2 linked regions of the Xenopus tropicalis genome follow. The protein of the gene in region 2 purifies or fractionates together with the protein of the main gene of each other region. This does not show direct contact. Links are inferred from orthologs where the notes say so. Each region holds a gene or a part of one and is shown on either strand. Other genes may lie near its edges.

Evidence for each region.
Region 1: the proteins of suclg2 (region 2) and suclg1 fractionate together in Homo sapiens (co-fractionation; 6 studies listed by BioGRID and IntAct, counting the BioPlex papers as one, with this or other methods). This does not show direct contact. The link is inferred for Xenopus tropicalis from reciprocal best matches to the Homo sapiens genes SUCLG2 and SUCLG1.

What each region holds. Positions count from the first base shown.
Region 1 is NC_030677.2:9,778,794-9,782,449, forward strand, and holds part of suclg1 (succinate--CoA ligase [ADP/GDP-forming] subunit alpha, mitochondrial), read left to right. Parts: intron 1-1,919; coding exon 1,920-2,023; intron 2,024-3,656. UniProt on the Homo sapiens protein: Succinyl-CoA synthetase functions in the citric acid cycle (TCA), coupling the hydrolysis of succinyl-CoA to the synthesis of either ATP or GTP and thus represents the only step of substrate-level phosphorylation in the TCA.
Region 2 is NC_030680.2:143,027,338-143,030,993, reverse strand, and holds part of suclg2 (succinate--CoA ligase [GDP-forming] subunit beta, mitochondrial), read right to left. Parts: intron 3,442-3,656; coding exon 3,289-3,441; intron 737-3,288; coding exon 647-736; intron 1-646. UniProt on the Homo sapiens protein: GTP-specific succinyl-CoA synthetase functions in the citric acid cycle (TCA), coupling the hydrolysis of succinyl-CoA to the synthesis of GTP and thus represents the only step of substrate-level phosphorylation in the TCA.

The sequences.
Region 1 (3,656 bases), on a different chromosome or scaffold from region 2:
TTACTTCTGTTCCAATGTAAAACTCAGAGTAATGTACATATACAGGTATGGGATCTGTTATCCAGAATCCGTGAGACATGGGGTTTTCCAGATAAGGGATCTTTCCATAATTTGGATTTCCATACCTTAAGTCTACTTTAAAATAATTTAAACAGTAATTAAATCCAAAAGGATTGATTCCCTTTTCTCTGTAATAATAAAACAGTACCTGTACTTGATCCCAACTAAGATATAATTACCCCTTATTGGGGGCAGAACAGCCCTATTGGGTTTATTTCATGGTTAAATGATTCCCTTTTCTCTGTAATAATAAAACAGTACCTGTACTTGATCCCAACTAAGATATAATTACCCCTTATTGGGGCAGAACAGCCCTATTGGGTTTATTTCATGGTTAAATGATTCCCTTTTCTCTGTAATAATAAAACAGTACCTGTACTTGATCCCAACTAAGATATAATTACCCCTTATTGGGGGCAGAACAGCCCTATTGGGTTTATTTAATGGTTAAATGATTCCCTTTTCTCTGTAATAATAAAACAGTACCTGTACTTGATCCCAACTAAGATATAATTACCCCTTATTGGGGGCAGAACAGCCCTATTGGGTTTATTTAATGGTTAAATGATTCCCTTTTCTCTGTAATAATAAAACAGTACCTGTACTTGATCCCAACTAAGATATAATTACCCCTTATTGGGGGCAGAACAGCCCTATTGGGTTTATTTCATGTTTAAATGATTTTCAGCAGACTTAGGCTATGGAGACCTAAATTACAAAAGATCCCTTATCTGGAAAACACCAGGTCCTGTTCATTCTGGATAATAGTTCCCATACCTGCAATACTTTTTAAAAATGTGAATTATTTGTTTAAAATTGTGTCTGTGGGAGATAGCCTTTCTGTAATTGGGAACTTTCTGGATAATGGGGTTTCCGGATAACGGCTCCCATACCTGTACTTGTCAGGGTTGCAATGGGGCCTCAGTAGAGTAGCCTTTCCCTGCGCTGCTGGCGTTTGCATAGTGTTGCGCTGCTACTTTCCCTTTGCCCTTTGCAGACACAGAGGTTAATGGTTACCTTTCCCGGTTCCCTAACGCCAGTGACGTACAAAGTGCAACAGTGTGGCGAGTAGAAGTTGCTCCGTCAGGCAGTTGGGTGTATAAACCCCCGGGTTGGACCTTTGTGCCAGTAGCTTTATACAGAGCCGGTGTTTACTGGATACTCTGTGCCCTCTGCTCTCATTCCTCTCAGCGCCTACAGCTGAATTTCTTGTTTGGCCGTACCTGTGTAATTATACTGTGAACCTTGGCTGAGTGTGAGTGACCTCTTGGGGAGTGTGAGTGACCTCTCAGGGCCAAAACAATTTTGTTTTTTTTGCACAGTTTTTAGCTGAAGGTGCCCTTGGCTGAAGCATTCCCTCCTTGCCCTTTCACCTCAAAGAAATGCTTTATTATTTGTTCTTTAGAATTTTCTTTCCAGCTTTCCAATGGGGGTCACTGACCCCAGCAGCTAAAAAACTATTGCTTTGTGAGGCTACAGTGTTATTATTGTTACTTTTTATTCCTTATTTTTCTATTCAGCCCCTCTTCTGTTCATATATTAGTCTCTCGTTCAAATTACTCCCTGGTTGCTAAGGTAATTTGGACCCTAGCAACCAAATAACTGCTGAAACTCCCAACTGCAGAGCTGCTGAACAAAAAATGAAATAATTACAAAAAATTGTTTTATTATTATTGTTACTTTGTATTCCTTATCTTTCTATTCAGTTCCTCTCCTATGCATATTCCGGTCTCTCATTCACACCACTGCCTGGTTGCTTAGGTAAACAAGACCCTAGCAACCAGATAGCACGGGGGAATGATGTGATAGTGCTGCATTGGTGCCCTGGCTGAGAAGGAATCTGTGCTTTTGCCTTTCAGTACAGCAGAATGGAGTACGGCAATGCTCCTACACAGCTTCCAGGAAGCACCTGTATATAGATAAGGACACGAGGGTTATCTGCCAAGGCTTCACTGGGAAGCAGGTATGTATATACTACTTTATTATGTTATACAGCATTGTTATGCATTAAAGGACATGTAAACCCCATGAAGGGAACAGCCTCTTTGTAATCCTTAAACCTGCCACTCTGGTTGTTTAAAGGTTAATAGTAAGGCCGCAGCACCCCCTGAATCACTTGGTTCCTTCCCCTCCTCTGTTGGCTTCTGAGCATGCTCAGTTCTTCTCAGCTCAGATTACTAAACACGCCCTCCAGTCTAGCAGCCAATAAAGAGATTGCGGGTTCCCATAGAAATTCTCACTATTCATCCAGGTCATGGTATCTCTAGTATAAATAAATCTAAAGCAACTGGACTTGTTTTTTGGACTGTTTGATATCCATCCAAGAGGGGGGTAACTTGACAACAGAAGTATACAGGGAACCCACTCATACGGATTAATATCTGTTGTTCGATTCCCACCATCTGCTGGAACACAAACTGGGGGCATTTGAACCCCAAGAGGAATAACCGTCCTGAGACAGAGAGAAGGCGCAATATAGTCACCCCCATATGTAGCAGGAGTGTCGGAGAAACTCAGGAGAATTTTCAACAAACACCACATCCCTGTGTTTTTCAAACCCAGCAACACACTGAGACAAAAACTTGTACCCCCAAAGGATCCAACACCAAAGGAAAAACAAAGCAATGTTGTATACGCAGCCCAGTGTAGCGAGGAGTGCACAGACCTTTACACTGGGGAGACAAAGCAACTGCTCTCCAAGCGAATGCCTCAGTATAGGAGGGGGGGGGGGGACTCTACAGGCCAGGACTCTGCTGTATTTCTGCACCTAAAAGAGATACTAGACTATACTAGACATAGAAATTCTGCTCAGCTGTCTTTTTTTTGTTCTAACCTCCTCTCCTGAGCTCAGCTTAACCTTTGCAGTGCTCAAACAAAATAGAACTTTTTATCAACGTAACTTCTGCCTGTGTAAGCCTGCATTCTCCATTACATACATGAAAATAGGAACAGCTGGTTATATGAATTTTATTGCATTTGTTCACCTGTTTGGCCTGTGATCAGGTAACAAGTCAAGCAAATGTATATAGTTTTAGGCTGGAGTCAGACAAGTAAATAATTGCCTCCCATGTCCCTGGGTGTGCGGCTAGCTCTGCTCAGGAACCGGCTTCATTCCCAAGAGAATTTTACCCCTGTGACTTTAACCCAGAATGTTTAGGCTTCACATATTCTATTCGCTCTAACATTTAGTCCTACCTTCCATCAGAGAGATACAGTATAGATTCCAACAAGCCTTGCATTACACTATAAGCAGTCAAATAGGCCCAACTGTGTCGCCTGGGTCACCTTGAATGCAAAGGGTTAAAGCTGGCAGTGTACTCACTGCTACTATATATAGCACATACAAGCAGCATAACTATGCACTATACATGTAGCCTGTAAAGCTGATTAAACCCAAACACACACACTATCCAACAATTCATAGGGGTCCCCTTCCCCCGGGTTCAGCTGTTGTCTATGGGTCTCTGTGTGTTACATAATACATACATGTAACATAATACAATTGGCCAGACCCCTTTATGCCAATATGGCAAGCTTCTTAGTTATTGCCTTGGAGTCCAGCAAGTAAAAGACCCCTCAGTGATTGGTAGAACTGC
Region 2 (3,656 bases):
CAGTCCTCTATCAAAAGATTTGTTGTCTCCGTTTTCCTGTGCCAGAGACATGCAGCTCTCTACTCTCTTCTGCTCCCCACTCCCTCAAGAATGCTAAGAACTCACTCCCCCCTCTGAGCCAATCAACAGGAAGCTGACTCATAGTCTAACAAACTGAGCATGTTCACCAGTCTGTGTCTTGGTGCAGGAGTGAGGCATTATGGGAACTTTCTTTACACAGCTCAGCGTTTTTTTTTCCCATGAGGCTTCTGATCATCTGAATGGGAGAAATATGGGGAGACTTAAGGGCACTATTGAGAGAACTGAAGGTATGCCTGCAGCTTGAGATTAACTCTTTATTAGCCTTTCCTTCTCCTTTAAGAATGACCAGTGTTCCTTCCCACCCCACCCCCCCACACCTTTTGCCTCTTCATTTCTTCCCCTTTACCCTCTCTATCCCTCTTTATAAACTCAGTTTCACCACTTTGTATGCACTGTATCATCCTTTTACTATTATGATGACTTTGCAGACATTCTACTCGATGGCTCTTGTACATGAAATGGCCCTTTCTCTTTTCTTCTCAATAAAATTGTAAGTTACAGAAGAAAAAAAAAAAATGAATGATGGCAACCATGAACCTTATTAGACAGTTGATTTCCACATTACCTGCTGTTGAAGGGGTCCTTTAAATCCTAAATTGTCCGCCATCCGCAACGCTTGGCTGTCTTTTATGCCTTCAAAGATGTCAATTTCCTCCTTTGAAGAGAGACATATTTAATGGAATATGAAACCATGACTATAATAAACAGGATTAATTCGATATGGAAAAACAATATTAATGAATGTATGGCAGTAGGGCAGCCTGCGCCAGATCGGAGCTAAACAGGCGCCCATAGGGTACCGAGTAATTGTATCAACATGCGCTGAAATAAGCATTTCCCCCACAAGCCAGTTCTTATCTCGGGCAGCCTGACAATACAATCTGACACTGCTGTTTCACTTTTAATTAGCGGGCAGATGGCACTAACAAACACTCAACTGCTAATTCTTGTATTTTTCATATGAATGATACCAGTGCATGTGGGATTATGTCCAGTTGATTTGCAGGGCTGCAGACCGAGGGGGGGGGGGGTCTCGGGGCATTTTTGGGAAGTTCAGGACCCCGAACTTTGGAAGAATCTATGCACAGATGGAGCCCGATATCCATAGAGACTGAAATCAATGATTAGATTAAACAATTAGCTTGTAGATACCAGAATAAGGGTTGTAGTTGATCAACTACAAGTTCCAGATTGGGACTCTACATTTAGGGGTAGAGCAAAATACATTAAAGTCTCACCCGTGTTCTATTCATTCCTATGGGATTTTTAGAAGTGTATTTAATCAATGGGTAACGGTAAGAACTCACCATTAGATAAATATGCTTCTAAAAATCCAATAGGAATAAATAGAACATGGGTGAGTTTATATGTACAGGTATAGGATCTGTTATCTTGAAAACCAGTTATCCAGAAAGTTCCGAATTATGTTAAGGCCAGCCCCCATACACTTCATTATAAGCAAATCATTTTAATTATTGAAAATGATTCCCTTTTCTCTGTAATAATAAAACAGTACCTGTACTTGATCCCAACTAAGATATAATTACCCCTTATTGGGGGCAGAACAGCCCTATTGGGTTTATTTCATGGTTAAATGATTCCCTTTTCTCTGTAATAATAAAACAGTACCTGTACTTGATCCCAACTAAGATATAATTACCCCTTATTGGGGGCAGAACAGCCCTATTGGGTTTATTTAATGGTTAAATGATTCCCTTTTCTCTGTAATAATAAAACAGTACCTGTACAAATTACAGACCCCTTATCTGGGAAACCCCAGGTCCCGAGCATTCTGGATAATAGGTCCCATGCCTGTATTAAGCTCTATACTCCCATTTTGATAAAGCTGTGCCTTAGAGTATCTAAAAAATAAGCACAAAGGCTTATAAATTACATGTGCCTTTACCAAAGCCAGTTTCTTTCCAGGGGCCCCTTTGGAGGCTAGGGGCCAGCACAAATGCCCTTTCCTTTTTTAAAGCCAGCCCTGTTTTTGTGAACAAATTGGAAATAATTCTGGGAAAATTCATAGAATTCATCATATCTGCGCTCTGCTTCACAGAAGTCTATGGCCTAATCGTGAGATGTATTGTACTTCACTCAATACCTTCAAAATGAAACGAGAAAAATGAGAGTGAATTATACGGCAAAAGGAACATTGCAAAAATAGAAAAATGCATTGCAGTCAAAGCAAGTGCGAATACAGAGTGTTCCTACACAGAAATACAATGTAAGGAACATGTCATGTTGGTGAACTTTCCACCGATGATTATTTGACAAGAGAAGTAGCCTAAAATGAGAATGAGAGGGCCTCCAACTGACAGATAAGGTTGCGGAACTTGCACATTGTCTGAATGATTCATCCTTCCCCATGAGTCTCATTGACCAACTGATGTTCTAAGAACTTTCAGGATATTACTGGTGACATCATAGGAACTCCCCTAAATTAGTTTGCCCAATTCCAGCCCTATAAAGCCACAAGAGCAGGTATATTAAAAACATTAACGGAGAACTAACGTTTTATGAAGTAGTAGGAACCAACAAATACACATTATGTTTTGGGCTTCTTTACTAGCTCAGGGCCACCATGGTGCTTTAGAAGTAAAGATATCTTCCTTTTGAAGACCCCGTAGTTTAGCTTCGCAACTGAAGTCCAAAGCACACTGAGCATGTGCGGTGCCCCTGACACTCTCAAGAGATGACTTAACAAGATCCAAGATGGGGAGCTCCAGTGCACAATTAAGAAGGCTTGGCTCATTCCTGTTATAGGGCTGTTGAACCTCTATTATGGCCCACTAAATTCTGTGTATAATTTCTAAACATATTAATTTTCACATTTAGTTGTCGTTTAAGCTACTGTCCTCGACCCCATCCCTAGGACAGACACAAAAATGCAGGCAGATTTCTCCCATACACGATAATTCAGCCTGATATCTCCTACTGTAATGGGATCACAATACAGTTTGATAGGTCCAAGGACTCATCAATGACTATACACTTCTGATGGGAAAAGACCAATTTTCCAGAATGTCAAACACCACATGTGGAAAGATTTGGGTATATTTTCTCTAAACACAATTAATCCAGGTAAAACGGCTAAATGTGCAAGTAGTCTTTAGTATAGTGCAGAGGAACTTCATTTCTGTGTAGGACAATCGGGAGCAACCTGTTCTCCAGTCTTTGGACTGAGCTCATTGGAATTGTATTTACCTTAAAAATAAGTTCCGGTGTTTTCTCTGCCACTTCTTCAATGTCCATTCCTCCTTGAGGACTCCCAACTAGAACAGGTCCATTGCAAGCTCGGTCCATCAATATAGCCAAGTAGGTTTCTCTTGAAATGTCCAGAGCCTCTGCAACCATTACCTAAATAAATATATGGAGAACACAAGCCTGTTAGCAAAGGCATACAACTATTTCAGAGAAAAAGGACAGAACTAGAGATTTTAGAGAATATTGTCATCTAGAATCTAAACTATTATTTCTACACAATTAAAAGAAATAAGGGATCTGCCACTTTGGGAAATACTGAAATGTAACTGCATATAACAAGTACTGATAGTTTCATAAATTACTGGCAG